Linked DNA regions of Anolis sagrei. The protein of the gene in region 1 purifies or fractionates together with the protein of each later gene. This does not show direct contact. Links are inferred from orthologs where the notes say so. Each region holds a gene or a part of one and is shown in the gene's direction. Other genes may lie near its edges. The genes, in order: PBXIP1 and SLC27A1.

Region 1 (16,456 bases):
TAGAGAAAAGAGTTAATGGAAAACAAGGAAAGTTTGCTGACTTGGGTCTGTGTCTCTAAGGCCCCTTCCACATGGCTGTATGTTTCATCGAACTGGATTATTATATGGCAGTGTAGACTCAGATAATCCAGTTCAAAGCAGATAATAATAATAATAATAATAATAATAATAATAATAATACTTTATTTATATTCCGCCCTTCTCACCCCGAAGGGGACTCAGGGCGGATCACAGTACACATACACGGCAAACATTCAATACACAGACAGACAGAACAGAAGGAGGTGCCATGGAAGTTGGAGCTCGAGTCCAGGGGGTGCTGTTGGCTTCCTCCTTCCTTTTGGTGGCCCAACATTTTCTGATCTTCCTTCTTTATGGTGTCGTAAAACACCTCCCCCTCTATATAGTGGTACCTAATTTCTCTAAAGCTGTTTTCAAATTGCTTAGGTAAACAATGAGCTAGGCTGACAGTTGGCAGCTCACGCCAACCCAGGGCTTCGAACTTGCAACCTTTTGGTTGATAGATCTTATAATTGCTGATGATTTACCACCCGTGCTAATCCTCTGGCCCTTTTGTGGACGATCTGCTTGGATGTTCTGGTTGATACGGCTGTGTGGAAGGACCCTCAGAGAGGAGCCTGATGGGGCTTCCCTTCTCAAACAATAAAGCCTTTCTGGGAAGAGACCTCTGTCAGTGACAATCATCGTAGATTAGATGCAGCGGTGAAACGTGGTTCTGGGCCCATAACCCAGCTGTCAGTAAGGCAGGAACGTGATCAATGACAGCCACCTTAGGCTATAAACTACATTATTTTACAGCGATATACATTAGAAGCTACTTAACACTCAGCGCACCGTCCAATCGTAACATTGTGAACACAGGAAGTGCTGTTATCAGCACTAGTCCACACCTCTTGCTTTCCAGAGTGACGCACGACAGCTGCGTCCATTTGCTCTATACGCTTGTGGACGCTTTTCTGCTTCCGTTTCCAAATCAATGGCAATAAGGACACTCTACAGACTTTGGGGGAAAGGAGATGGGAAATTTCCTAATTTTCCCCTAAATTTGGCCTGGAACGGATTCCGAAGCCGGACCTTTTTTGGGGGACACGAGATACCTCTTGGGGAACGCTTTCTGCTTCCAAGCTCTGCCCCCGAGAGCGGGAGAGACGGAAACAAGACTCTCGGGACACGGATTATTATTATGATCATGATCATTATTTTTTAAATAATGTTTTTTAAGCAAATCCCTTTTTTTTTGTTGACTTTCCTTGGGTTGCGCATGTGTTTGGGGTTTTTGGGAAGAGAGGGAGGGGGGATTGGGGGGTGGGGGGAGCGAGCGGGGCGCCATCCTTGGGTTTGTAATTCCCCCCTTTTTTCCTCCTTGTTTTTATGTGAAAACATTAAAAAAGTGACGTTTTGTAAAGTAATTGGGGTATTCCTTTCCTCTTGAAAATGTTTACATATTTAGTAATGATTGGGGATGTTTGGGGTCAAGCCCGGAACCCGCTGCCTCCAAAATCAGCCACCTGCAAATATAAATTGATTTATTTACGTATTTATTTATTATTGACGACCTTGATATGGCGCCTTTCTCACCCCGAAGGGGACTCAGAGCGGCTGACAAGTAAAAAGTAAATGCAATATATTATTATTATTATTATCTTAGCACAATATTAATATTATATATTACATTGTACTATAACATTATCCTGTAATATTATTAGTAATATTACATTTAATATAAAATATACAATTATATTATTATTATTATTAGCATTAATGCATAGCACGGCCATGGCTCAGTGCTACGGATTCATGATTTGACAAGGTCTGCCGAATGCCACTGAACTAGAACTCTCACCATCCTTTAGCATCAAAGTGGTATCAAAGTGCATTAATTCGACAGTGTAGATGGACAATTTTGCAACCCCAGACAAAAGTTTTATGTTAACTTTTGGCATTTTGTCAGCTTTTATGTTAAGTGAGTCTCCTTTGGGAGACATAATTATTAATGGGTTGTTGTCTGTTTTCCGGGCTATATGGCCATGTTCTAGAAGCATTCTCTCCTGACATTTCGCCTGCATCTATGGGAAGAGTTGTGAGAGTGTTCTAGAAGCATTCTCCCCTGACGTTTCGCCTGCATCTATGGCAAGCGTCCTCAGAGGTTGTGAGAGTGTCCTAGAAGCATTCTCTCCTGACATTTCGCCTGCATCTATGGCAAGAGGTTTGTGAGACTGTTCTAGAAGCATTCTCTCCTGACATTTCGCCTGCATCTCTGGCAAGCATCCACAGAGGTTGTGAGAGTGTTCTAGAAGCATTCTCTCCTGACCTTTCGCCTGCATCTATGGCAAGCATCCCCAGAGGTAGTGAGAGTGTTCTAGAAGCATTCTCTCCTGACGTTTCGCCTGCATCTGTGGCAAGCATCCCCAGAGGTTGTGAGAGACCTCACAACCTCTGAGGATGCTTGCCATAGATGCAGGTGAAACGTCAGAAGAGAATGCTTCTAGAACGTGGTCATATAGCCTGAAAAACCTACAGCAACCCAGTGATTCTAGCCATGAAAGCCTTCGACGATTAAATATCATTATTATTATTATTTTTCTGACACAGAAGCACAGTATGTCACAGCAAAGGAGATCTATATGCCGGATTATTATTATTGTGGTTATTATTATGGTTCTTATTTTGTCCAGCCTTTGATGCCACTTGCCCGTCCCTGTGTCTTGCTCAGTTTGGGGTTCAGTTTGGGGTGTGCAGAAGCATTGCAGGTGAGGGGGGCAACGGGGCAGAAGGGGACCAAAGTGCATTGGAATCACCGTGTAGACGCTTCCAAGGATTCCTAACCCCGATGTTCCAGAGGAAGAGCCTTGGCCCCGTGTTTGCTCCTTGCTCCCAAGTGTGGGTCGGCCTTCCAGCTGGAGCAGGGCCAGCGGAGAGACCTTTTGTGGGGCCGTCTCTCCCCCTTTGTCTTTGCCGCCTCCTTCCTTGAAATGTGGTGACAGTTTGGGGCCAGCACCGCTCTCTCCTTCCCTCCTCTGTTGGGATCTTCTTGGCTGCATTCCTTCTCCAGCCGAAGAGAAAGAAGACCGGTCTTTGCAAAGGACGGCGGCCCTTGGGCTTGGGGGAGTCCCCAAAGCGGAGGCTCCAAAGGCAACCCATAGAAATATATTTTTTTCTATGTGAAACAAAACATGACTACAGCAGACTCTTAGTTAACCGGAATCCAAGCAACAGGTGGAAACAAAACCAAAGAAACCACACTTTGCATTTTTGAAAAGCTGGTTGTCATGCTACAGCCAGGCTGTTGGGTTTGGCGTTGATGGTCTTGGTTTGCTTTTCACGACTGGACTGCAAGGTGAATCCCCAGTCGATGCAGAGTTTATGGTCTGGGTTACAGCACGAGGTCTGCCTTTAAGAGAGAGGGACTCTCAAGCAACCACAAACTGCACTCACACAGCATTTATCGATCCCTGTTATTGTTGTTGATATTATTATTGATACACATCTACCAATCCCCATGGGGGCGGCCATGGGTTAATTGGGAGTCGACTATATTATTTATTTATATTTTTATATATTATTATTATTATTATTATTATTGGTATACATCTACCAATCCCCATAGGTACCATGGATTAATTGGGGGGTCTACAGTATTATTATTCATATATTATTATATTTATATTTATTATTGATACACATCCACCAATTACCATGGGTACCGTGGGTTAATTGGGGGTCTGCTGTGTTATTATTAAAATATTTATTATTATTAATAATAATATATTTATTATTGGTACACATCTACCAATCCCCATGGGTACCATGGGTTAATTGGGAGGTCTACTGTATTATTATTAATATATATATATATTTTATTATTGGTACACATCTACCAATTCCCATGGGGGGGGCATGGGTTAATTGGGGGTCTACTGTATTGTTATTAATATATTTTATTATTATTATTAATATTATTATTGGTATACATCTACCAATCCCCATGGGTACCATGGGTTAACTGGGGGTCTATTATATTATTATTAACATATTTACTATTATTATTGGTACACAACTACCAATCCCCATGTGTAGTATGAGTTAACTGGGGGTCTATTATATTATTATTAATATATATATATATATTATTGGTACATATCTACCAGTTCCCATGGGTACCATGGGTTAACTGGGGGGTCTACTGTATTATTATTTATATATTATTATTATTATTATTATTATTATTATTATTACTATTATTATTGATACCAACTACCAATCCCCATGGGTACTGTGGGTTAATTGGGGGTCTGGGGTATTATTATTAATATATTTATTATTATTATTATTATGATGTTTGTTATTGGTACACATCCACCAATCCCCATTAGTACCGTGGGTTAATTGGGGGTCTGCTGTATTAATATTTATATATTTATTAATAATTATTATTATTATTGATCCCAATCCCCATAGGTACCATGGGTTAACTGGGGATCTACTGTATTATTATTAATATATTTATTATTATCATTTATACACATCTACCAATCTTCATGGGGGCCATGGGTTAATTGTATTATTAATTACTGTATTATTAAATACAGTAATTAATAATACTGTATTATTAATATATTATTATTATTATTATTATTATTATTATTGATACACATCTAACAATCCCCATGGGGTAATTGTATTATTTTTGTATTGTATTATTATTGTAGTATTATTAATATATTTATTATTATTATTATTTATTGTTAATGCAACATCTACTAAACCCACGAGAGGTCATGGATTAACAGAGAGTCTGATGAGGATGATGATGGTGATGATGATTGACCTGGCATCTCCCAATCCCCACAGGAGTTTCCTCTATATTATTATTATTATTATTATTATTATTATTATTATTATTATTATTATTATTATTATTATGTCTCCTTTAATGCCAACCTGCAAGTGGAGCAGACTTCTTGCAGACTTATTTTCCAGCCAGCTTTGCACTCATTGGCTGGGCTCTCCCTCTCACGCCTCCTGATTGGTTCCCTGGCTGCCCTCGGTCCCGCCCACCTTGCAGGGGAAGCAGCTGCAACAGAAGTTTCAAGAGAGGAAAGTTGAGAAGCCGAAAGGAAGGAAGGAAGAAGGGAAAGAAAGGAAGGAAAGAGCTTGCCCACCTGCCTTCCAGGTAAGGATCCCTTGGGGGCCCCACAGGGAGGGCCAGGGGTTGGCCATTGAGAGGCAGAACTAGCAGCATTATTATTATTATTATTATTAGTATTATTATTATTATTATTATTATTATTATTATTGTAATAATAATGACTGTAGGATTGGGCGTGCTTTCCTTCCTCCCTTGGATTTGGTCCAGCGCGTGCAGGGTTGCCACGGCAACAGCATCCTCTTTCCCAAAAGTGTCCATAACACTTTGCAACACAATTTGTGTCCCTGGGCTATCAACGTCATTTCCTAATTGGGTCTGTCATCAACACATAGGGAAAGTTGATTAAATTGCCAAAATATTGTTCTTCTGGGACATCCTGCTATAATAGCACATTACGTTACAGTATGTCATGATATTTATTATTACATTTATTATTATTATGTATTATATTATTGTTGTTTTATATTATATTATATTATTTATTGTTTTATTATTATATTATATTATTTATATTATATTATTGTTGTGTTATCAACATCATTTCCTAATTGGGTCTGCCATCAAAACGTAGGGAAAGTTGATTAAATTGCCAAAACATTGTTCTTCTGGGACATCCTGCTGTAGCACATTACGTTACGGTATGTAATTATATTTATTATTATGATATATTATATTATTTTCGTTTTATATTATAATTACATTTATTATTATATATGTTATTATTGTATTATATCTATTATTATATGATATTATTGTTATATTAATTATTTTATGATGTAATATTATTGCAATACAATTATATCATTATATACTAAATATTATATTAATAAATAGAATAATATATGTTTATTTATTTAGTATTTATTTAAAAACTATTATATATGTTATTGTATTATTTCTATTATTATATGATATTATTAAGTTATATTAATTATCTTATGATGTAATATTATTGCAATAGCAATACAATTATATCATTATATACTAAATATTATATTAATAAATATAATAATAATAATAATAATAATAATAATAATAATAATACTATGTGTTGTGATTATTGTTCCTGGGTTGTTATCAATGTCATGTGCTATAGCTTTTCAATGAATGTCCCATCATTGAGTCTCAACAATTATATCATTATATACTAAATATTATATTAATAGAAATAGTAGTAATAATAATAATAATAATAATACTATGTGACGTGATGATTGTTGTCATGTACTCGAGCTTCTCAATGATCGAGTCTCAACAATTATATCATTATATACTAAATATAGTATATAATGACACGATAAATAAATAAATATAAATAAATATACTAAATATTATATTGATAAATATAATAATAATAATAATAATACTATGTGACGTGATTATTGTTCCTGGGTTGTTATCAACGTCATGTGCTCGAGTTTTTCAATGAATGTCCCATCGTCAAGTCTCAACAATTATATCATTATATACTAAATATTATATTAATAAATATAAGAGTAGTAGTAGTAGTAATAATAATAATAATAATAATAATAATAATAATAATACTATGTGACGTGATTATTGTTCCTGGGTTGTTATCAATGTCATGTGCTATAGCGTCTCAATGAAGGTCTCATCATGGAGTCTCAACCCATTGCCACCTAGTTTGTGGCAGACACACAAAGCGACACTTCTGGGGGTGAACAACAACTCCTTTCAATGGAAGAGGGAGAAGGACTCTCTCCAAAGAGGAAGGGAACTTGGTTCCAGTTGTCCTTTCTTTGGGTCTGTTCCTGTGTCCCGGTCGGTCGCCTTGAGTCCAACGAGTGCCTGGAAATCAAACAAAGTGACTTGCCCTAAAAAGGAAGTTTTTGCCCAGAAGAGAGAGAGAGAGAGAGAGAGAGAGAGAGAGAGAGAGGCTGGGAGCCTCCGAAGGGGAAGGAAGGAAGGAAGGAGAGAGCGGAGGGAGGGAACCCTGGCCATGCTCTTGCTTGCTTGCTCGCTTGCTTGCTTGCCCAGGTTTGGGAGCGTCCCACCTGCTGCAAGGCATTAAGCGCAGCTATAAATAAGGCCGGGCGCCTTCCCTTTTGAGCCCTTGCAGCTGTCCCTCTTTCTGCTCGCCCCACGGAGGAATCTGGGGAAGGAAGGAAATAGACAAGGAGACGAGGTGGAGCTGTCTTCCTGGCCCCCTCTCTCTTCACTAGGAAATTTAGGTATTGCTTTACGCGGGGAGGCTAACTTAATTAATTTACAGCGCCATAAAACCTTCCAGCAGCGTGCATAAGAATGAGGAAGTCCTCCATCCAGAACTGGGTGTCACAGCTCCCCCTGTGGCCGGACCTCAGCACACCCTCCTGAAGCCGGAAAAGCGGGAATGTTGAATGGCCTCTATGTGTTGCACGTCTATGGCAGTGTTTCTCAACCTGGGGGTTGGGACCCCTGGGGGGGTCACGAGGGGGTGTCAGAGGGGTCACCAAAGACCATCAGAAAACACAGTATTTTCTGATGGTCATGGGGATTCCATGTGGGAAGTTTGGCCCAATGTTATTATTGGTGGGGTTCAAAATGTTCTTTGATTGCAGGTGAACTATAAATCCCAGCAACTCCAACTCCAATATAGAAGGGGCTCTTTGGGGTTTGGCTTGAGGGCAGCCAGTTCCAAGGGGGGGCCCTCAACTATCCCCAGGGCCAAGGCACCTCCTTCTGTTGCTATTCTGGCCCTTCTTTTTGCACACACACACACCGCCATGCAGCGCTCTGGGAAGGAGAGGGCATGGTTGGGATTCCCCGCATTCCCGGTCCCTCTCTCTCTTTCTCCGGCCAGAAGAGACCGGGCACAGCCGCCTTCCCCCCAAGGAGCCCGTCCTTGGCACTCTCTCCTCCTTTCTTTCTTTCTTTCTTTCTTTCTCTCTCTCTCTTTGGCCACCCTTCTCTCTGCGGCTTTGTTTCGCCACCTTGCGCCCCTCCGTCGGATCGTAAAATTAATTAATTGAGAGGAACATAAAGGAAATTTCTTCCTCTTTTTCTCTCTTCCTCTTTGACTTTTTCTTTTTTCTCTCTATTTCTTTTTCTATTGTTCTTTCTCCTTCTTTCTTTCTTTCTTTCTTTCTTTCCCTCTCCTTCTTTCTCTTTCACTATTTTTCTTTCTTTTTCCTCTCTCTCTCTTTTCTCTTTCTTTCCCTATTGCTCTGTCTTCCTTTCTCTCTGTTTTCTCTCTCTCTTCCTCTTTCTTTCTTTCTCTTTCTCTCTCTCTCTTCCTTTCTCTTTTTTTCTCTCCCTCTTTTCCTTTTTTCTATTTCCTTTTCTATTTTTCTTTCTCCTTCTTTCTTTCTTTCTTTCTTTCTTTCTTTCTTTCCCTCTTTCTTTCCCTCTCCTTCTTTCTCTTTCTCTATTTTTCTTTCTTTTTCCTCTCTCTCTCTTTTCTCTTTCTTTCCCTTTTGCTCTGTCTTCCTTTCTCTCTGTTTTCTCTCTCTCTTCCTCTTTCTTTCTTTCTTTCTTTCTTTCTCTTTCTCTTTCTCTCTTCCTTTCTCTTTTTTTCTCTCCCTCTTTTCCTTTTTTCTCTCTATTTCCTTTTCTATTTTTCTTTCTCTTTCGTTCTTTCTTTCTCTCTTTCTTTCCCTCTCCTTCTTTCTCTTTCTCTATTTTTCTTTCTTTTTCCTCTCTCTCTCTTTTCTCTTTCTTTCCCTATTGCTCTGTCTTCCTTTCTCTCTGTTTTCTCTTCCTCTTTCTTTCTTTCTTTCTTTCTCTTTCTCTCTCTTCCTTTCTCTTTTTTTCTCTCCCTCTTTTCCTTTTTTCTCTCTATTTCTTTTTCTATTTTTCTTTCTCTTTCCTTTTTTCTTTCCCCCTCTTTTTCTCTCCTCCTTTTTCTATCTCTTTCCCTCATTCTGTCTCCTTCTTTCTCTTTCTCTCTCTATTTTTTCTTTCTTTTTCCTCTCTCTGTCTTTTTGTTTTCTCTTCCTCTTCCTTTCTCTTTTGCTTTTTTCTTTCACTTTCTCTTGTTCTTTCTCTTTCTTGTCTTTGTTTTTCTTTCTTTTTCTCACTCTCTTTCACGCTTTGTCTTTCCCTTTCTCTTTCTTTCACCCTCTCTCATTCTTTCTCTCCTCTCTTTCTCATTCTTTTTCAGTCTCTTCTCTCTCTATTTCTCCTTTTTTCTTTCTCTCCTCCTTGTTTTTCTTTCTGTTTCTCCCCCCTTTCATGCTTTCTTTCTCTTTCTCTCACCCTCTCTCATTCTTTCTCTCCTCTCTCTTTCTTTCTCACTCTCTTCTCTCTCTATTTCTCCCTTTCTCTTTCTTTTTCTCCTTGTTCTTTTTCTTTCTTTTCTTTCTCACTCCCTTCTCTCTCTATTTCTCCTTTTTCTTTCTCTCCTCATTCTTTTTTCTTTCTTTTTTCTCTCTTTTTCTTTCTTTCTTACTCTCTTCTCTCCCTTTTTCTCCCTTTCTCTTTCTTTCTCTCCTTGTTTTTCTCTTTTCTCTCTCTTTCTCATTCTTTCTCTTTCTTTTTCCCTTTCTTCTCTTCCTCCCTCCTCCTCCTCTCTCTTTTCCTGACCCTTTGCCCTCCCTTTTCTCCTCCCTGGTTCCCTTTCCCCTTCCTTCTCTCTTGATATTGAGAGGAACATCAAGTCAATGCGTTCAAGACATCCATCCTAATTTGAGTCTGTTTTGAGAGAGGAACGTCAGGCACAAAACTCTTGATTGTGGCTGCCTCCGGGGATCGTCCTTCCCTCTCACTTGCAGATCCGTTCTTGCAACCGTTCTATTTAGAGGGAGCAAAAGAAAAAGTACAACAAGGGTTGTGTGTGTGTGTGTGTGTTGTGTTGTGTTCCATCGTGCCCTTCTTCCCCGTCTCTTCTTTGCATGGATTTGTTTTGCAAATCCTTCCCATGTCGGCCAGCAAAGCCCAAGCTCAGGAGACTTTGTGCCTCAAAGCAACAAGGGGCTCCTCTTCTCTCTCTTTCGAACACAAAGCACTCGGGACATGCTCAGAGGCACTCTTGGCAACCCACTCTTCCTGACTGTGAGAGCTGTTCAGCAGTGGAACTCTCTGCCCTGGAGGCTCCTTCTTTGAAGGCTTTTAAACAGAGGCTGGATGACCATCTGTCAGGGATGCTTTGAATGCAATATTCCTGCTTCTTGGCAGAATGGGGTTGGACTGGAGGATGGCCCCCCCAGGTCTCTTCCAACTCTTTGATTCTATGAAAGGTGTGAAGACCACCTTCTTCTCTGGAGGGAGGGGGGTGTTTTATGTATTTTTAATGGGTTTCAATTGTGTTGATTCTTCATTTGAGATAGTTCTGGGTTTAATTCTATTCTCTTCCTCCTTCCTTCCTTTCTCTTCCTTTCTTTCCCTTTTCTCCCTCCATGCCTTTCCCACTTTCCTTTCCCTCCCTCCCTCCTCCTTCCTCCTTCCTTTCTTTCCTTTCTTCTTTGCTCCTTTTTTCCTCCTCTCCTTCTTTCCTTCCTTCTTTCTCTCTGCTCTTCTATCTTTCTTTCTTTCTTTCTTTCTTTCTTCCTAATTCCTTCTTTTCCCTTTTGTTTCTTCTTTCTACTCCTCTTTCCTTCCTTCTCTCTTCTTTCCCTTCCTTTCTTTCCTTTCTTCTTTGTTCCTCCTGCCTTCCTTCCTTCCTTCCTTCTTTCCCTCTTCTCTTCTTTCTTTCTTTCTTTCTTTCTTTCTTCCCTTCCTTCCTTCCTTTCCTTTTTGTTTCTTCTTTCCACTCCTCTTTCCTTTCTTCTTTCCCTTCCTTTCTTGCTTTCTTCCCTTCTTTTCTCTTCCTTTCTTTCCCTTTTCTCCCTTCATGCCTTTCCCTCTTTCCTTTCCCTTCCTTCCTTCCTTCTTTCCCTCTTCTCTTCTCTCTTTCTTTCTTTCTTTCTTTCTTTCTTTCTTCCCTTCCTTTCCTTTTTGTTTCTTCTTTCCACTCCTCTTTCCTTTCTTCTTTCCCTTCCTTTCTTGCTTTCTTCCCTTCTTTTCTCTTCCTTTCTTTCCCTTTTCTCCCTTCATGCCTTTCCCACTTCCCTTTCCCTTCCTCCTTCCTTCCTTCCTTCCTCCTTCTTTCTCTCTTCTTTCTTTCTCTCTTCTGTTTTTTCTTTCTTCCCTTCCTTCCTTTCCGTTCTTCTTTGTTCCTTTTTCTTCTCCTCCTTCCTTCCTTCCTTCTTTCTTCTCTTCTTTCTTCCTTCCATTCCTTCTTTTCCCTTTTGTTTCTCCTTTCCAGTCCCTTCCTTCCCCGGTGACCTCACAGAGGGCCACTTCACCCCGGTCGGGGCCCCTCTTTGGCCGGGCTCGGCTGGGCATGCGCCGCCATGGCTGACCGCTCAGACTCCCGGGAGTCCGACAACAACAGCTGGGTGATGGCCGGATCAGAGGTGAGACATGGCCCTCCCACTCCTATAACAACAACAACAACAACAGTTGAATTGCTGTGACTTTTCCATGCTCTCAGGTCCTGTTCTAGCAGCATTCTCTCCTGATGTTTTGCCTGCATCTTTCCCTAATGGCATCTTCAGAGGTTCAGAGGTTCTTTTGGCAGTGAAACAAGTGGAGTGTAGCCCTCTCTATACACACACACACACACACACACCTGTGGAATGATGTCCAGGGTGGGAGAAAGCGCCCTTGTCTCTTTGAAGCAAGTATGGATGTTGCAATGAGCAAGCTTGAATAGCACGGAGAGGCCATGCATTTTGCAAGGTCAATCAGTGAGGGTCTCTGCATGGATATATACCTGTGGAGTGATGTACAGGGTGGGAGGAAGAACCCATGTCTGTTGCAATGAGCAAGCTTGAATAGCATTGAGTAGCCTTGCAGCTGCAAAGTCAATCAGTGAGGATCTCTGCGTGGAGGTGGCCTGGCTGTTGTTGCCTGGAGGCACCCTCTGTGGAATGATGTCCAGGGTGGGAAGGAGAACCCTGGCCCGTTTAAAGCAAGTGTGAATGTTGCAGTTGGCCAGCTTGATTGGCATTGAGTAGCCTTGCAACTTCAAAGTCAATCAGTGAGGATCTCTGCATAGAGGCGGCTTGACCGTTGTTGCCTGGAGGCACCCTCTCTGGAATGATGCCCGGGGTGAGAGAGAGAACCCTTGTCTGTTGAAAGCAAGTTTGCATGTTGCAATGAGCATTTTTGAATAGCCTTGGTGCTGCAAAGTGAATCAGTGTGAGAGTATCTACCTAGAGGTAGCCTGGCAGGGACCCTCACTGATTGACTTTGCATGACTTCCACGCAGAGACCCTCGCTGACTGACTTTGCACGACTTCCACGCAGAGACCCTCACTGATTGACTTTGCACGACTTCCACGCAGAGACCCTCGCTGATTGACTTTGCACGACTTCCAGGCGGAGACCCCCACTGATTGACTTTGCACGACTTCCACGCAGAGCCCCTCACCGATTGACTTTGCACGACCTCCACACAGAGACCCTCACTTATTGACTTTGCACGACCTCCACGCAGGGACCCTCACCAATTGACTTTGCACGACCTCCATGCAGGGACCCTCACCAATTGACTTCGCACGACCTCCATGCAGGGACCCTCACTGACTGACTTTGCACGACTCCCATGCAGGGACCCTCACTGTGACTTTGCACGGCTTCCATGCAGGGACCCTCACTGATTGACTTTGCAGCTTCAAAGCTACTCAGTGCTATTCAAGCTTGCCAATTGCAACATCCACCCTTGCTTCAAACAGACCAGGCACGGAAAACTGGCATCAACCCAGGCTTAGGCCTTGTTGGGTATTTTCCTCCCTCTGCTGGGGTGGGACTGCAGATCCCATCGTCCCCGCCCGGCAGGCCCACTCACCCCTGCTCTCTCTCCTTTGACCGCTCTCTCCTTGCAGACCCTTCCCGTGGAAGAGCTTCGCTCCGAAGAAACGGCAGAAGTCCCGACAGAGGACCCTTCACCCACCCAGAAGCAGCAAGGTAAGTGGAGGCGGGCCAATCCTCATCATTACTATTATTATTATTATTATTATTCCCCATTTTTCTTTCTTGGCCAAGACTTGCAACAGATTAAGCCATGCACATTATTATTATTATTATTATTATTATTATTATTTTACTGGCACATTATTTATTTTATTATTTATTATACTCACAACAGGTTAAGCCATGCATCATATTATTATTATTGTTATTATTATTATTATTATTATTATTATTTTACTGATACAAATATTATTACTATTTTATTGGCACATTATTTATTTTATTATTTATTATACTCACAACAGGTTAAGCCATGCATCATATTATTATTATTATTGTTATTGTTGTTATTATTATTATTATTATTTTACTGATACAAATATTATTACTATTTTATTGGCACATTATTTATTTTATATTATTATTATTTTACTGACACAATTTTTTATTGTATTATTTATTATATTATTTATTTTACTGACAATATTATTATTATTATTATTATTCCCCATTTTTCTTTCTTGGCCAAGACTCACAACAGATTAAGCCATGCATATTATTATTATTATTATTATTATTATTATTTTACTGACACAAATATTATTATTATTTTACTGACACAATTTTTTATTTTATTATTTATTTATTATATTATTTATTTTACTGACATTATTATTATTATTATTATTATTATTATTATTATTATTCCCCATTTTCCTTCTTTCAACAGCCCCCGTTGACGAAAAAGAGGTCCCCGAGGTCCTTTCCGAGCCAGAAGAGCCCAAAACAAAGGTCGAGTATCGAACTCTTAAGGCTCTCTTAACCTTTGAGGGGTTCAGGGTGTGTCTGCACCACACATTTATGCCAGTTTCACACCACTTTAGCTACATGGGGGTTGGTGGCTTGTTGAACTATACGGAAATCTCTGTGGGTGAATAGGAAGGAAGGAGGGGGAAAAAAGGAGGGAAGGAAGGAAGGAAAGAGAAAAGGAAAGGAAGAGAAGAGAAAGGAAGGAAAGGAAGGGAGGGAGGGGGAAAGGAGGGAGAGAAGGAAAGAGAAAAAGAAGGGAAAGGAAGAAGAGAAAGGAAGGAAAGGAGGAAAGGAAGGGGGGAAGAAAGAGGGAAGGAAGGAAAGAGAAAAAGAAGGGAAAGGAAGAGGAGAAAGGAAGGAAAGGAGGATGGGAGTGGGAAAGAAAAAGGGAAGGAAGGAAAGAGAAAAAGGAGGGAAAGAAAGAAGAGAAAGGAAGGGAGGTGGAAAGAAAAAGGGAAGGAGGGAAAGAAAGAAAAGGAAGGAAGGAAGGAAAGGAGGATGGGAGGGGGAAAGAAAAAGGGAAGGAAGGAAAGAGAAAAAGGAGGGAAAGAAAGAAGAGAGAAGAAGGGAAAGAGTAAGGGAAGGGGAAAGAAAGAGGGAAGGAAGGAAAGAAAAAGAAGGGACAGAAAGAAGAGAAAGGAAGGGAAGGAGGAACGGAAAGGGAGAGAAAGAGGGAAGGAAAGAGAAAAAGAAAGGAAAGGAAGAGAAAGGAATGAAAGGAAGGGAGGGGGGAAAGGAGGGAAGGAAGGAAAGAGAAAAGAAGGGAAAGGAAGAGGAGAAAGGAAAGGAGGAAGGGAAGGGGGAAAGAAAAAGGGAAGGAAGGATAGAGAAAAAGAAGGGAAAGGAAGAGAAGAGACAGGAATGAAAGGAGGAAGGGAAAGGGAAAGAAAAAGGGAAGGAAGGATAGAGAAAAAGGAGGGAAAGGAAGAGAAGAGGAAGGAAAGGAGGAAGGGAAGGGGAAAGAAAAAGGGAAGGAAGGAAAGAGAAAAAGGAGGGAATGAAAGAGAAGAGAAAGGAATGAAAGGAGGAAGGGAGGGGGAAAGAAAAAGGGAAGAAAGGAAAGAGAAAAAGAAGAGAAAGGAAGAAGAGAAAGGGGGAAGGAAGGAAAGATAGAAAGAAGAGAGAGGAGAGAAAGGAAGGGAAGGAGGAAAGGAAGGGGGAAAGAAAGAGGGAAGGAAGGATGGAAAGAGAAAAAGAAGGGAAAGGAAGAGGTGCATTGGGTTCAACCCTTGTGCCAACAGGACTTGTGGCCAACAGGTCGGAGGTTCAAATCTGGGGAGAGCACGGGTGAGCTCCCTCTGTCAGCTCCAGCTCCCCATTCGTGGACATGAGAGGAGCCTCCCACAAGGATGGTAAAACATCAGAAAACATCCAGGCAATGTCCTTGTAGATGGCCAGTTCTCTCACACCAGAAGCGACTTGCAGTTTCTCAAGTTGCTCCTGACACGAAATAATAATAATAATAATAATAATAATAATAATAATAATTGATTGATGCCTAGCCCTGTTATTAGTATTATTATTATTGCACGCACGCGAGTATTGAAATCCCGCTCTGTCCTTGTTTTGGGGCAGCCCCTTGGAGGTGGGCCGGGGGTGGCCCTGGACGTCCCTTCGGAAGAGACCCCCGCAGCCTCAGCCTCAGAGCCCAGCCCGGTCCCGGCCCCTCCGCCAGCCAAGGACTCCCTCACCCATCATGCTGAGGAGGGCTCTGCCGCCGCCCCGCCAGGAGCCCCCCTCTTCCACAGAGCAGGTGAGGTCCCCCCCCCTTCCTCTTCCTCTTCCCCCCGCCTGGGTTGGAAGCCCCCCCTCTTTGAGGCCACCCCATTTCCCGCTTCCACTTTGCAGGTCCTCCCGTGGCGGAAGACGTGGAAGGCCTGCGAAGGCGGAAGGGCCGCGAGGGGCCCGAGGTGGCTGTTCCTGCCGCAGGAGGGGGCCGGGCCCCGGGCGCCCGAGAGGAGGGCGGGCAGGCCATCTGGCTGTGCGGATTCCTGGCTCTGCTGGGACTCGGCGTCCTGGTCGCCCTGGGTGAGTGCTTTCTGCAAGGGAAGGAGGGAGGACATCTCTCGGGAGGGCTTGCGTGGTGTCCTCCAGCCTGGCATGAATACGGTGGGACTGGGGGGCCTTCTTTGGGGCCCCTCCCAAGGGTCAGATTCTCTGTCTATCCATCTGCCTACGAACCTATCTATTTGTGTTTCTATTTATGCATCTGTCTGTCAACCTATACATCTATCTATCTATGCATTTATCTGTAATAATAATAATAATAGTAATAATAATAAATAGAAATAATAATAATAATAGTAATAATAGTAATAATAATAATTTATCTACCTGTCTATGCATCTATCTATGCATCTAGCTATGCATTTAGCTATCTATGTATCTATCTATGCATCTATGTGTATCATCTATCTATGCATCTAGCTATTTATGTAAGCATCTCTATATATGCATGTATCTATCTCTCTATTTTGGCAGAAGGAGGTTGGACTAGATGGCCTTCATTGGGCTCTCCTCCAACTCTACGATTCTATCTATCTATGCATCTTTCTGTCTGTCTGTCTGTCTATCCCT
Region 2 (16,210 bases), on another chromosome or scaffold:
CCTGCAAGTTGGGACTACTGGAGGGTGTTGGCAGGCTCATTTAGGGTAAGATGATGCTCAGGTCTTGGGGTCCAAGCCATACATGAGGAACCTTTGGCTCCCCATATTTTTGGATGAGTTCCTATCCAAGCTGGCAAGACAACTGTATGTTGAAAACTAAAACATCTACAGGACTGCTTCTGAAAATCGTGGTCCATAGTAAGTGCCAGTCTGCAAGACACTGGGTAGCGGTTCAACTGAACAAGAATATTGATTCCTGTGAATTCTGGCTGAAACGCAGAGGACTAAATTCAATTGTTTCGCCTGGCCATCCCAATAAGGGCCCTTCACAAAAAATAGCTTTTGGGGTGCATGTGGCCCATGAACCTCACTTTTATTGTCCCTTTAAAGACTTGACTAACCTTGTCATAATACATTGGTAACTTAGATCTTTACATTTTGTCGCATCATCCATAGCATATACGGAGGCTTAACAATACCTGTAAAACCAGCTTGTACACCCAGCATTGCCCAGGTCCGCATTTTCTAATGGGACAATTGATAATATCACAAAGCTAACAATGAGTATGTCTAATAAATAGCATTAGAAAATGCTTAACTAGACAACACCAAGTACAAAAGCTAATTAGTAATTGTTACTATGAGCGAGCCAAACTCTCTCGGCATTGAGTTGCACTCTAGTCCAAACAGAAAGGTGTAAACAACAACCTGATGTAGACAATTTTGTTTAAATAAAATCTGAAATTGTTGCATTGAGCAAGCATCATTATAAAATTTGAATTTCTGCCTTGAGTAGACACACACGCTTTAAAATATAAATCTTCATTAAATTACTTATTTCCTTTTTTTGGTCTGGATGTCCCTGCTGTGAACTTCAGGGATGTGCTATTGCCTCATGATAAGAGTCGTGCTGGGCCCGCTCATGAGGATGCCACCTTGTCTGCCTATACATTTCCTGACCGTTTTCTGATTCTACTTGTTCATGTGGCCTGACCCCCTGAAAGCCTTTTCTTTGAAGCTAAGCAGTTTGGCCCCAGTCGGGGATTGCATTGAAGACCAATAGCAAATCCTTTATATACTGCCCTCTTGTGATTGTATCTGAATGCTGGAGATACACATTCCTTTTAATTTGTTTTAAGGGTCCACCTCTGAAAAGCATGATAGAATATCTTAAGTTGGATAATGAAGAGTATGCATGTCAAGTTTGGTTTAGATCTATTGAACCACAAGGAGGTTCAAGGCCCAATTGGTCTATTTGGTGACTTTTAATGGTTATTCAGGGCCCGTTTTTTTCCATTTTAAAAGTTGTTCAGGACCCGTTTTGCTCATTTGGTGCCTTTCTAAGGTTATTTAGCTCGTCTTTAGGGTTGTTCGGGGCCTGTTTTGCCCATCTGGTGCCTTTCTAAGGTTGTTCAAGGCCTCTTCATTATTTATTTATTTACCGTATTTCTATCCCGTCACTTCTCAACCCCCGAAGGGGGACTCAGGACGGCTTACAATGGGTACCGTTACGATACCACTACATAGCAATTACAATAATAAAACCACAATTGAACATGTCATAGTTAAAAACAATACATAAGCAATCATTAAAACCGTAAAACAATCTCATCAGCCGTATCGCCGTTCCAGTCAAAGTGCTGCTTGCATCTATTGCCCAAAGCCTGGTCCCAAAACCATGATTTTAATTTCTTTCGGAAAGCCAGGAGGGAGGGAGCCGATCTTACCTCAATCGGGAGTGTGTTCCATAGACAGGGAGCCACCGCCGAGAAGGCCCTGTCTCTCATCCCTGCCAGACACATCTGTGCTGTTGACGGGAGCGAGAGCAGGGCCTCCCCAGATGATCTTAGATTACGAGGCGGGACGTAGGGGTGGATGCATTCGGACAAGTAAGCTGGCCAGAACCGTATAGAGCTTTATAGGTCAAAACCAGCATTTTGAATTGGGCTCGGAAATGGACCGGCAGCCAGTGGAGCTGACATAACGGGGGAGGGGGGAGGTTAGTCAGGACCTTTTTGCCCATTTGGTGCCTTTCTAAGGTTGTTCAGGGCCTCTTAAGGGTTAGTCAAGTCCTGTTTTGCCCATTTGGTGACTTTTAAATGTTATTCGGGGCCTCTTTAGGGTTGTCCAGGGCTCGTTTTGCCCATTTGGTGCCTTTCTAAGGTTGGTCAGAGCTTCTTTAGGGTTGTTCGGGGCCTGTTTTGCCCATTTGGTGCCTTTTAAAGGATTTCAGTATCTCTTTAGGGTTCTTCAGGGCTTGTTTTTCCCATTTGATGACTTCTAAAGATTATAATACAAGCAAGCATACATGTATACAAACTGCAGTGGAAACCCACAGAAAAATATTGTTATCTCAAAGAGGCAAGCCAGGTGTGTACTCACCACTTCATCACACTAGATAATGAATCCACTTTAAATCCGGTTTCTGCCTCCTGCAGAATTCTGGAGTTTGTAGTTTAGTAAAGCTGTTAAAGACTCCTCCCTAAACTACAAACTCCAGAATTCTGCAGTGAACTAGTGTGACGAGATTAGCTGCTCATTGCTCCTGTCTCTTTCTATAGCCCCTAAAAGCCATAAAGGAGTGTAGGTCTCCTTTAAGAAAACAGGATGTTTTCTTTCATGGTTAAATATTGACCAGAACGGTACAGCCTTGGAATGTGGTAGGATACTTTAGCTCAGATGGTTGACCTTTACTCCCCTTCTGTTATCTTATAGAATTATGGGGAGATATTTGCCATGTCAGATCAGCTTTAAGGACATGGGCTTTGGGAGGGCGGGAGGATGGCCCTTGGACAATGGGAGTTGTGGTCCATCCAAATCCAGATATCACTGTGAACCCCACCAGTGACAGATCTGGACCAAACTTGGCACACACCCATCATGACCAACTTAAAATACTGGTGAGATTTAGAAGCAATAACAGAGGATGGCGGGAGTTATAGTCCATCCACATCCACACACAATTGTGAAAATACTGGAACTCCTATGACCAACAGAAAATACTGGAAGGGTTTGGTGGGCATTGACCTTGAGTTTTGGAGTTGTAGTTCACCTACCTCCAGAGAGCACTGTGAACCCAAACAAGGATGGATCTGGACCAAACTTGGCACACAGACCCAACATGAGAAACTTTAAACACTGATAGGTTTTAGGGGGGCATGTCAAAAGATGGTGGGAATTGAATTTTACAATCCTTTTCTAACAGAACCATTCATAAAATACAAAAACAAACAATGCCTTTTTCAAATGTTTATCCTTACCAAATCCCTAACCCAGCAACACCAGGTACATAAGCTAGTAAGATATAAAAATCTGTACATCTCAGCCAATGTTTAATCTCGAAGAGGAAGAGTCCAGACAAGTGCTGCATGCTGTTTGCTGATCCAGGGGTTCCCAACAACAAACTGGGGAAAAACTTGAATGGCTCATATTTCTTTACTATGCTTTTGTTATCATGCTTGGTTCTTTAATAAATTCCTTTCTGTCATTATAGTCACTTATGTGTGTATTGCCTCCTGATCCAAAATAGGATCTTTTACCTTTGACAAAATACATACTATGACTTTTATATATGCATAAGACAAAACCTCACATTTGATACACTACTACTTCCTAGGACAAGTCTTTAAAGAGAGTTGCACCCACACCGTCTGTCCCTGTCTCTTCGCTGTTTGCCATAAGCCAGAGCAGGCAGGCTTCCTCTGTTATTTACTTGAGAGCAGGAAGACAATTATTTTTGCTGACCATGTTTACTAGCAAAGGTTTACTGCCTTCCTTCCCTCCATGATTCACTGAGTAAAACACGAAGCAAACAGTTTACGAGTTGTGGCCCTTTAAATAGTATAATTAGGAATCCGGTCCAGCCCAATATTCCAGTTAGATAAAATTAGAAAAACCAAACAAAACACTTAAATACACTTAAAGTAGCCTTTTAAATTCACAATGTACCTCTTGAGGTGTCTTCAAAACACCTGCATAAATAATAAACTGTTATATATATAGAAGTTATAGAACAGACCAATGGCCGCAAGGGGAAGGAGTTAAAGGGCCCTTCCAGACAGGCCCTATATCCCAGGATCTGATCCCAGTTTTTCTGTTTAACCCAGATTATCTGGCAGTGCGGACTCATATAATCCAGTTTAAAGCTGAAAAACTTGGGATCAGATCCTGGGATATAGGGCCTGTCTGGAAGGGTCCTAACCCTCCCTGCCTATGTTTCACTTCACATATATTCCTCCTCTCCAATTTGGTATGGAAAGGAAGGCTTGATCGACATGGGGAGGGAATGAGAGGAATGACAGCAACTGGAAAATACCAGCTGGCTTCACTCAACATGTCAACCATCCAGGTGTTATCTGTGTCTTGTGATCTTAAGGTCAATACCCTTTGGGCAAATCACTCCTATAAAGCAAAATGTTTTCTGGCAAGGAATCACTAAATATTGTGTTTACATGCCTCTTCTGAAACAATGGTCTACCTTGAGGCCATTATGATTTGTTTTATCTGAATCTGATGTTAATCCTTGAAGTTCATTGGGAGTTTGAGGAAGCTTTATGCAAACAACTATTTCATCTTAAATTATGTCACAAGGTTAGTAGGAAGATAAAAAAAGATTGTGTGAATTTTGTTCACAGGATGCTCCAGCTGATATAATCAGCATATATGATTTTTGCATAACTTGTAAAGCTACTTTTACCTACTATTTAATTTTAGCTATAGTTCCAAGCCTGAAAAGAATTAGTTATTGTCATTGCTACAATTTTTGAAAGTATCTTTCCTATTTCTTGACATTAACTAAATGTGCTTCAAAATTCATCTGGACTCCAAAACCCACGGGCTAATGGGATTAACATACTCCCCTGTCCAATTGGCATTGTAGAGGAAATAGCATGGGGCCCATATTTTTCTCTTGATACTTAGTAAAGCCACCTGTAGCAGTAAAAATAATTAAAATGATAGCTACGCTACCAATTTTGACTATCTGTATTTTACTGCTCTTTTTTTCCCAGCCCTCACATGGCCAAATGTGGCTTTTGACTACACTGATACCCTGCTAGCGAAATAATCTGAATGGACAACAGTAAAACATCTTAAGACAAAATGTAGGCTCGTGACTTTCTTGCATCATTTCTCCTTCTCCTGTATGATTTTTAGCACCTTCACCAGATATGCTTTTTTGTTGACCCTATAAATATATACCAGTAATTGTATATTTTGGATTTAGTTCTAATCTGGGGTGGTTAACTAGATACCTATAATAATTTACTTCCAAATTCCAAATGTTTGATTCGTCTCTTCTTTCTTCACAGTTCCTAAAAAATATGCTTTGGAGGTTTTGAAAATGTGTGGGACAATGTGGGAAGTGGGCAGATTTGGCCAAAAAACAAAAAAAACCTCGCTTCTACCCCAATATGGATTAAAACTCAAATAACTTGAATTATTTAATAAAATAACAGCAGCAGCAGCAACAAAATCTGAAGGCCAAAACACTGACTGGTAGACTCAAAGACCTGAAAAAGAGCATTCCTTTCATCTCTTGGGAGTCGGAAAATGGATCATAACGTAAAAACTTCCTGATGATGATCAGTATCAAATGCAAGTTTAGAGCATCTTCTTTGTCTTGATGTTGTTGTTTTTTAATTTGAAGAAAGGTGCAAGTGTGTATACAGCTTCTTGTTCCCTTGTTCACTTACCAAAGCCACTATTAATTGGCTTTGAACTTCCTTAGTTGAATCAATCCGTCTGTATTCTAGGGCCCTTCCAGACAGGCCCTATATCCCAGGATCTGATCCCAGGTTTTCTGTTTATTCCAAATTATCTGGCAGTGTGGACTCATATCCAGTTTAAAATAAAAAACCAGATCAGATTCTGGGATATAGAGTCTGTCTGGAAGGGCTCGTAGTTTCCCTCTTCAGTGGGACATTTTTGTGAGCCAAACTTAATTTGAAACCTAGTAGAACAGTGAATGTGGGCCTGGAGATTATTGCAGAAAAAGCCTAGGATTGAGAAAGTTGCTTTCGGCCCTCTTTGTTCTGAGGGAAGAATATGAAGGACTATATCTGCTTATATTACTACTAGATCTGTTTCTGACAAGGCGGCCAGTTCAGGCAGTGCTGGCAGGTCCCAGGTCAGTAGCCCAGATCTTCTCCAAACGTCTGGAAGAGCCCGTAGTTTCCCTCTTTTCTTAGTACCTTCAACTTCACTATGAATAGGAAAAACTCTACCCAACAAGCCTTGTGAGCTCTTTAGTAATACTGTTGGGATTATGGAAACAGGAATTCAGGAGTTCTGCTATTTAGGATATAGAGGAAAGGTCACAGAACATCCGATTCATTCTCAAAAAGAACAAAAGAAGAACATCATATCTTTTCAAGGTTTAGTAATCACTCCCTTTGATACATTTCTAACCATTAGTTTTGTTCTCAAGTAAGAATTGTCCATCTCTTGTGAAAACAGTTGCCTCTTCACAAAAACCTGCATTGTACTCTTGGTGGCAGCCCTTTAGAAATAGCCACACACTGGAAAACATTGTCTCAATTAAATATCTAGGCTTTGCTCAATTACATGCAAACTGATGCTATGGCACTTTATGAAAAACCTTCTGGCAAAATAGGTATGTCAACAGTTCCAGACAGAATAAATCAGTGTATGGAGACATGGTTTATATTGGGTTGTTGTAGGTTTTTCGGGCTATATGGCCATGTTCTAGAAGCATTCTCTCCTGATGTTTCACCTGCATCTATTGACCTCACAACCTCTGAGGATGCCTGCCATAGATGCAGGTGAAATGTCAGGAGAGAATGCTTCTAGAACATGGTGTTTTGACCTACAGTTTATGAGCTGTTAGGATTTCTGGGAGTTGGAGGCCAAAACATCTGGGGACCCGCAGGTTGAGAACCACTGCATTAGGCCCTTTCCTAAACTAAAATTTTGAGACATTTCCAGAGGTGTGGGGTGTGTACATAGTGCTTGTCCATAGTGCTTGTCCAATTCATGACAAGTTCATAGAAAAGTCATCAGAAACTGGGGAAAAGATCATTGCAGTCTCCATTGCTGGCACCTATGGGGCTATTCTAAACTTCATTTTGGGGTCCTGTTTTTCAGCAACATGAGAACAAGAGGAAAGTGGGAGGAGGAGGAAGATACCAGGGGGTGCATCAACACTGTAGAATACAGTTCCACACTACTTTAACTGAACCCCCAGTGACACAATGGACTAAACCTTTGTGCTGACTGAAAGGTCGGCGGTTCAAATCTGGGGAGCAGGGTGAGCTTCCATCTATCAGCTCCAGCTGCCCATGCGGGGACATGAGAGAAGCCTCCCACAGGATGGTAACACATCCGGGCGTCCTCTGGGCAATGTCCCTGCAGACAGCCAATTCTCTCATACCAGAAGTGACTTGCAGTTTGGGTTGTTGTAGGTTTTTCGGGCTATATGGCCATGTTCTAAGAGCATTCTCTCCTGGTGTTTCGCCTGCATCTATGGCAAGCATCCTCAGAGCTTGTGAGGTCTTGTAGTTTCTCAAGTCGTTCCTGACACGAAAAAAACCCTTTAATTTTCATTTCCCAATGCTATGGACTCATGAGAGTTGTATAGGGTGCAGCAGCATAACTTCCTTTTTTCAAAACTTAATAAAACCCATTTTATGAATGAGAATATTTTTTTGTAATGTAGGCACATACTTAAAGTTTTGTTTTACGTAATTTTGAAGATCAAATTAGGTAGGTGACGTCCCCCATTCTCCATACACTGAGTAAACCGATTTCTGGTATTTGTCACGACTCTTGCCAGCATAGCAGGCGTTATGTTGGCAATTTCTTCCTGGATGTTGGTCTTCAAATCTTGTAGGGTCCTTGGACGGTTCATATAAACATGGGATTTCAAAAAAATCCCATAGAAAAAAATCACAAGGGGAGATCACAAGCCAAATCTGGAGAGCAGGCTAGCCAACCACTTCTGGGACATTATTAAAGCAGTTGAAGGTCAATGACAAAGGATTATTTCAAATTGTTCCTGCCAGATTAGGATACTGGAAGAGTGGTCGTGGGGAAGAGATATCAGGCCGCTTTCCAGAGGAAGCAAATAGCAGTTTGGCAAACCATCCCTAAGCATTCCTTTCCTAAGAAAACCCTATGAAATTAAAGGCCGCCGCTACTCCTATTAGAATGCCCCTATGTGACGTCATGAACCGGCTCTCTCGTGATTGGCTAAGACGGTCTCGGACGCTGGGAGGTAAAAGCGTTTCGCGTTCTATTGTCAGGGCCACAGGCTCTCGCAAACCACAGGCCTCTCCGCGCATGCTCAGGAGACGCTTTCCGCGCGTTCCACGACCCACTCTTTCCGCTCTTCTCGGTGCCTTGGCCTCGCCTACTCTCCTCCCCCCTCCCCCTCACGCTTCTCTGGGGCTTGAGGCGGCGCTTCCTCTTTAGGCTCCGCCCCCTCTCCCTCCCTCTCTGGCCCCGTGAGCGTTTTCTGTAGAGAAGGAGCCGAGCGAAGGTGAAGGAGGCGTGTGAGGAAAGTGGCGGTTGCCAGCGCGAGGTATGAAACGACCGTTTCGCCCTGGGGGAGGGAGGGGGAAGCGGCGTTCCCTTGGCAACGGGGGGGGGAAGCTTTGGCGTGGCCGTTACTCTGGCAACGTGGAGGGTGGGGGGCGAGGGGCAGCGTTGTCCTGGTAACAGGGCTGAGGGAGGGGTAACTTTGTGACGCCGCTTGGAGGGATCCCCTCTCCTCCTCATCTATGTATATATCAAAGTAGGCGCGTGTAGGTTTGTTGTTTGGCTTGTCCTATGTATTTTTTTATTTTTATTTATTTACAGCATTTATATGCCGCCCTTCTCACCCCGAAAGGGACTCAGCGGTTTACAAGATATATAAATATATATATAATATCAGTATTATATATAACTATATTGTACTATACCGTTATATTGTAATATTAATATCCTACAAAGAGTCCTCAATGGCATGGTGGGCCTGGCCCATTCTTGGCGGGCAGACTCTCCCTATGTGAAGCCTGCAGGTCACTGAGGGGAGAAGGAACGTGGATTTCAGAACCACTCCTTCTTTGGAGGCTTTTAAACAGAGGCTGGATGGTCATCTATCAGGGGTGGTTTGAAAGCGATTTTCCTGCTTCTGGATATCCCACAAGGTCTCTTCCAACTCTAGGATTCTATGACTGTTGTTCGTCAATTTTTTTGGTTAATATCTGTATACACTAAAACTACTCCAAGCACACACAGAAAAAAATAGCTACTAAGCCCTGGTGGTGCGGCGGGTTTAACTGCTGAGCTGCTGAACTTGCTGACTGAAAGGTTGGCGGTTCGAATTCAGGGAGTGGGGTTAGCTCCCACTGTTAGGCCCAGCTTCCACCAACCTAGCAATTTGGAAACAAGGAATGTGAGTAGATCAATAAGTACCACTTCAGCAGGAAGATAACTGCGCTCCATGAAATCGTGCTGACCACATTACCTTGGAGGCAGGCATGTAGCCGGGGGGGGGGGGGCTTGGAGGCTTCAGCCCCCCCCCCCCCCGAAATTCTCATGGTGGTTCGCGAGAAGGCCTTACTGGTGCATTATTTAAACTGTTATGTTTATTCATATCATGATCTGATCATCATGCTCAATATATGCCATATGCATGGGGGTATTGGGGTAACAATACAAAAGGTTTGCTAGGGTAGACCCTCTTTCGCTCAGACTCAGCCCCCCCCCCCCCCAAAATCAAACTCCCCCCCCCCCCCCAAATCAAAATCCTGGCTACAGGCCTGCTTGGAGGCATCTATGGACAACACCAGCTCTCCAGTTTAGATGAGCACCACCCCCCAGGGTCAGACACAATTAAACTTAAACTTAATATCAAGGGGAAACCTTTATCTTTACTAACCAGAAAATATAAATCAACATCTAACACTTCTGAGTAGGTACCTTCAAGTTTCCTCAATCCATGCCTTTTCACAGAGTTTGCTTTGCAAAGAGTACTGAGAAGGTGCTTTTGCCCAGTCCTTCCTTTGAAATGTATTTCCACAGCACCTGGTTTTTGTTGGCAGTCTCGGACCCACGTAGTAACCCCGGGCTGATAACGAAAAGAGAAAAATAGCAGGCATGAGCGTGTTACAAAATAAACGATTACTACATTACGTAAACTACTAAACTATCTGGCAGCGATTTCCATCCATCTTTTCTCTGTTTATTAGTTGAGTGGTTTTGCAGGAGTTTGGTACTTAACAGGGTTAGCAACCACTGTAACTTGTATCTTTTACAAGCAGCTCCACAGTTGGACTTGACCAGCTGATATCAGTCCTTACCTGTATGAAGTAAAAAGACCTGGCTGGCATGTTAAATTTCTGGACCTTTGATTGCTGTTAAAGGTATGAAAAGCAAGCCATTTTTTGTGTTTTTTGTTTAGCCTGGTTTGTTGGCATCTCTCATTTTTGGAAAGAAATCTTATTTTGCTGTTTTAACACAGTGTAACAGTTGGAAGAGTAGAGCTGTGGAGTGAGGGATCTGCTGAAGGTTAGTTGGCAGGAGACAGTCGTTTGTCCTCTTAAGAGCAGGGAAATACTATTTTGGCATGCTAACATGCTGTTTTGTCATCTGCTAGCTGGATCTAAAAAAGCTGTGCCTTGAAAAGTGTGATGGTGCTGTAATCCCTGACAGACTTTGTAACCGACAAGATTTGAAATAACTATTCTTTCTCCCACCCTGGACATTACAGAAATACTGTATATACTCGAGTATAAGCCAACCTGAATATAAGACGAGGCGCCTAATTTTACCACAAAAAACTGGGAAAACATATTGACTTGAGTATAAGCCGAGGGTGGGAAATGAAGCAGCTATTCGTAAATTTCAAAATAAAAATAGATACTAATAGAATTACATTAATTGAAGCATCAGTAGGTTAAATGTTTTTGAATATTTACATAAAACTGTAATTTAACATAAGACTGTACAACTCTGATTAAATCATTCTTCTAACCTGTATCATTCCAGTTATCACCATAATTTATTTTAACTATACATTTTGAGGGAAATGCTGTGTGTATACAAATAGAAAAAAGTGGGAAAGACTGGTGCGGAGAGGAAGGAGAGCTGGGTTGCTGTGTGGAAAGGTGAGGGTCGTGGCAGGAAGGCATGGAGGTAAAAGAAGCCCTTCCTCAACCCCACGCCTTCCTGCCAGAACCCTCATCCCCCTTGGCTTTTTCAGCCAAAAAAAGGGCTAAAAACTAGGCTTATACTCAAGTATATATAGTACATACAGTATATAAACCTCATTTGCCTAGTTTCCAACGGACCTTGCCATCTCTGAGGATGCCTGCCATACAGCCCAGAAAACTCACAGCAACCTAGTGATTCTGGCCATGATAGCCTTCGACAACACATCAACTGTATTACTTTAGCATACCATGCAACTGCATCAGTGACAAGTTTTCTAAGTAGCAGTACTCTAATTGATGAATCAGAAGGGACAAGTTGGTACTCGTGCATGACCTGAAGGGATTAGATGATAATTTTTTCAGTGGCATTGAGAAGAACTGCCCACTACATCTGCAGGACATTTCCTTTTTTGGCAGATGTTCACTTCCTTTAAAAAAATGATTGGAAGCAGTTGATTTCACAATGTTTATAGAATCATTGCCTAACTATGTTTCAAAAGTCATGACTTGATTCTTGTCTTTTCCATGTGACCCAGGTGAAGAGCTCCGTGTCATCTTAATTGCTGTCTAGATATTTGCAAGCTGATATCATGTACCAATTTAGCTCTTTTCTCTAAGCCAAACAAATGTGGGTCCTCCATCCTTTCCCCACATGTCATAAATTCCGAACTCCTTGCTGAGTGTTGTTGTTGTAGGTGTTACTTTTCTGAGTGCTCCCTGAGACTGAGTCTGCCCTTCCCTTCAAGAAGTCCAACTACATGACAGATTTAAGAAGGATGCAAAAGTCGGATTTGCCTCTAATAAATCGGAGTTAGAAAGTATCTTCGAGAAGGGAAACAAAGGCCTAATATCCAGGCTCTACAAATATATTTTAGAATACAATTTAGTAGACAACCAAATAAAAACTGTTATGATCACATGGGCCAAAGATGTAGGTAGAAATATCGATTTGGAAGAGTGGGAACATCTTTGGAAAAAGGGGTTTAGATTTTCAGTGGCCAGATCAATTAGAGAAAATATGTTTAAAATGTTTTACAGAGACTACATAACCCCAGTTACTAGCTAAAATAGAGAAAACAGGACGAGGGGCTCGCTGGAGATGCAAGAAGGTGAAGGGATCTTTTTTCCACGTATGGTGGACCTGTAACATAGTTAAAGAATTCTGGAAAAAAGTGGCGAAAGAAGCAAACAAACTGATTAGCAAAAAAAAAAAATCAAGAAAAACCCAGAAATGTGCTTATTAGGAATATTTAGAAGGTCTATTAGCGCAGGAGATGAAGAAATTTGTCAGTCTTGTTTTGTCGCTGCGAGACTAATAATAGCTAAAACATGGAAGGGGGGGGGGGGAAGAGTTAACTATTAAGGATTGGAGAGATAAATGAGTAGATTATATCCAAATGGCCAAACTGACAAATAGCAGCAGAGGAGGAAATAATGAAAAATGTGTTTAAAAATTGAGGTTGGCAATTGGATATCTCGAAAAGAAGACAAAAGTAGATTTGAAGATTGCCATAAAGGGGATTTAGTGAAAAAAGACATGTGGGTAGTTGTGGGTTAGTTATGTGATCCATACGGAGTGGTGTTGGAGGTCATGGGGGTTGAGTTAACGGGTGTAGGATTAGAGGGAAATAAATGTTAAGGTATAATAACTGTACAATCAAAGTTGATTTTTTATACGTTTAATGAGTGCTGACTGTATACCATTCTGTAAACTTGCATACTCTTTTCTATATATTTTTTTCTTTTCTGTTTTTTTGTTTTGTTTTGTTTTCCTCTGATGTCGGTCTTGTTTTCTGTGTGCACCATAAACCAATAAAAATTAATTTTTAAAAAAGTCTGCATGCAATACACCTGAATTGCAACCAGTACCAGATCTGGTTCTGTTGCTTATGTCTTGCTGACAGAAACACTTTTATATGTTAAACGGCTTGGTGACTGACTTACTAAATACCATGTTGTTCTTTTGTCTGATAAACTACTACATTATTTTATTAGCTTGTCAAATGTTTTAAGAAATCCAATAATCAGCATCACCACATCTAACAATCAGATTGTAAAGGTGATCTACTCCAGTCTTTCGCTGATGCAAGAAATTCACTAATAACAGATGGTTATCCAGCCAGTTTTAAAAACCACTAATGAAGGAGAGTTCAGCGTTTTTAGATGCTGTCTTTTGTCATATACATTGTATGTATGATTTAAATATGTTTTAACTGTTTTGGTAATTTAAATTCGGTCTTCCTAGTCCCCCATGAGATGTAACTCCTTCCAGAAATCTTTCAACACAGACAATTGAACCAAATCTTTCAACACAGACAATTGAACCAAGTACAAGTCTTTCCCAACATCACAATCTCTGTTGCCAGCCGTTCGCTTCCAGTATTCTCTCTCTTCCTAAGCCATGTCTTTCAAGATAAATGAATGACAAACACCATTTATATCCACTTCATCCCTTAACAGAGCCTTGTGGTAGAAGTACATTCAGAGCTATATCCAGCGGTATCATTTGTTTCCATGTAGATCATCAATAAGTGTCAATAGTCAGATTTTTCCCCCTAAAATCTTGCTAAGTTTTTGTAGATGCCTCAAGACACCACACACCTTTGGTGCTAAGTGGTTGGGGCGGCATATTGCTGCCTCTGTCCCCCTCAGTAGCATGTGGTCAATTAATGCCCTATGTCTACCTTACACAGGCAGCCACAGGAGTCATTCCACAATTAGAAGCCATGTAGTCCCCCTTTGTGATCCACAGAGCAGGAATAGAGAGGGTTGGAGAATGTGTGGCCTTCCATTTGTTTATGTCTTCCTTTATTATTGTCTATGCTCACTAGGACTGGTGGAAATAACACCCAGACTTCTTCTGGAGAGCCATAACGTGCTTGATGTGAGCCCAGGGTGGCTGTTGTTATTGTCTGTGGACTAGTCCTGAAATTGTTTGATAGTGCCAAAGATAGAGCATTTTTACTTCTAGATTAGCTTTCTCCCTGCATATAAGTCTTCCATGTTCCCATCCTCTGCATCTAGTTTTCTTCCTCCTGCTTATAATTTGTTTCTCCCTGTCATCGTTCCAGAAGTGCTTAATTAGCCTGTTTTGCCCACATATTTTCATCTTTCCAAGTGATCTTGTTTTAATATCCAGACCTCAGATCCTGGGATTTTTTTCTTCCAGCAAGGATGCCAACTTGTGTAGATCGAATGCTCTGTTATCATCAGGCAGAGACATGGCTTATCACTGCTTGTTGCTCTTTGATGTTACTTCAGTGTTTGTTGTTTCTTCCACTGTGTTTTCCCACATCAAATAGCCTATTTTCTTGCTGTGGGTTTTTTAGCTCCATGACAATGGCCAGTTTGATAAATTTCTTAGTTAATCACCTTGGTGCCTGTCTAGCTCAGTGACCAACAGCTATCTCACTTGATGTGCTGTTAAGAATGATGCTTAACAGTACATCAAGAAATAAACCAACTACAAAACAACATTACCAGACCCCAAACAGTTCAAGAATACCAAGCAGCCTAAAGAGAACAGTCTGTGGCACTGAGTTCTGTAAGTAACCTCCCATTTGTACATGTACTTTTGGATATACATATCCTTCCATATCTTCATACCAGTGAAAATATGAATGCAACAATGACATTTTAAGTGTAACACTATTGAAGTGAAATATTTCAGGATCCTTCCCGCAGGCAGTTTAATGGTAAACTGCCCTGTGGAGAAAGGGTTATGTGCTGTTCGTGCACATGCTGTCTTTCCATGTCTCCTCTTCTGTATCTTACATATATGTCTTCTAAGCATTCTCAGCCTGCTGGCTGTAAATCTCGGTATGTTCCCAGGGTCTAGTATTCCGTTTGGCACATCTCTCTGTGTGTATACTCTGTTCACACAGCACTCATAATTTTTATCAATGGGTCCTTTACATTTTTGTTGCAGCTGAACAGCTTTGAATGAACTATTTCTTCCAATTTGGTTGGGTGACCAATTATTAGAAATAGAAAACCCAGTAAGGTCTAATACAATAAAGCTCAATCATAGATTGGGAAGTAATAATAAATCTTCATGCTGCCACCCAGCATGAATAGGGGATGTGTGCATTTGCTAGTTGTTGCCCATAATAGGTTTTGACATACTTGTACACTGCTCTTTGTCCAAAGATCTTGGGGTGGTAGTATACATAAGGGTCAACTTATTTTATCCACATAATAGTCCTGTGACATAAGTTAGTCTGATTGCTCATTCACAATCACTCAGCTGCATGGATGAGCACAAATTTGATTTTAGTTCTTCCAGCAACAACTTGATGGTATGCTCTGTTAGATGGTTGTGTTTTTAATTAGTGTTTGTGGGTTTAATTGTTGTTAAAAGTCTATTTTGGTGTGATTTAATCTGTTGTTTCCCATCTCAGTCCATAGGGAGAGTCATATAAGAAATATAAGAACAACAACCATAATTTGTTATTCCTGTTTCTGCTCCAAAATGGTTAGCTACTATATTATACTTATTTATTTAATGAAGAATTGGCTAGAATAGATGGCATGATACTGATTTACATGTAAAGCTGTGTGTCTCCTTGCAACAAAGCATTACAATTATGTTCCCTGGCAACTCAAATGTGGCTTGTAGATTGATTTTTTTTAGTTCAATAAATGGGAAAATGGACCATGAAAAATTCTTCTCTGTAAGTGGAAATTTTTCAGAGTGGGATAATAGCTCCCACTTGCTTCAACAAGCAGGATGTTTGCAAATTCGTTTTGGAATCTTTGTTCCTCATAATATGAAGACACAACTACCCTCTTCCAGTTATTTGACCTCCTTTGCAGTAATGAAATGGAACCCTACGGAACTCTGATACTATCTTCAAACAACAGATTTCAATTTTTTCCCTCCCCACGTGGATCAATTAGGGCACGGAAAAAATCAAGCGCTGAACTCTTCAATGTTTTTTGAGGGGTTTTAATGGGTAAGTGGTGCCTTTAGTTGGACATCTTTGTGAGCCAAACTTAATTTGAGACCTAGTAGAATATCACAGTGAATGTGGGCCTGGAGATTTTTGCAGAGA

What was found.
Region 2: the proteins of PBXIP1 (region 1) and SLC27A1 purify together in Homo sapiens (co-immunoprecipitation; 3 studies listed by BioGRID and IntAct, with this or other methods). This does not show direct contact. The link is inferred for Anolis sagrei from reciprocal best matches to the Homo sapiens genes PBXIP1 and SLC27A1.

Annotation. Positions count from the first base shown.
Region 1 is NC_090032.1:267,098-283,553, forward strand, and holds the start of PBXIP1 (pre-B-cell leukemia transcription factor-interacting protein 1), read left to right. Parts: upstream 1-4,955; 5' UTR 4,956-5,194; intron 5,195-9,550; exon of another isoform or gene 9,551-9,929; intron 9,930-11,357; 5' UTR 11,358-11,445; coding exon 11,446-11,508; intron 11,509-12,981; coding exon 12,982-13,063; intron 13,064-13,799; coding exon 13,800-13,861; intron 13,862-15,454; coding exon 15,455-15,632; intron 15,633-15,727; coding exon 15,728-15,907; intron 15,908-16,456. UniProt on the Homo sapiens protein: Regulator of pre-B-cell leukemia transcription factors (BPXs) function. Inhibits the binding of PBX1-HOX complex to DNA and blocks the transcriptional activity of E2A-PBX1.
Region 2 is NC_090022.1:146,940,935-146,957,144, reverse strand, and holds the start of SLC27A1 (long-chain fatty acid transport protein 1), read left to right. Parts: upstream 1-8,417; 5' UTR 8,418-8,539; intron 8,540-16,210. UniProt on the Homo sapiens protein: Mediates the import of long-chain fatty acids (LCFA) into the cell by facilitating their transport at the plasma membrane.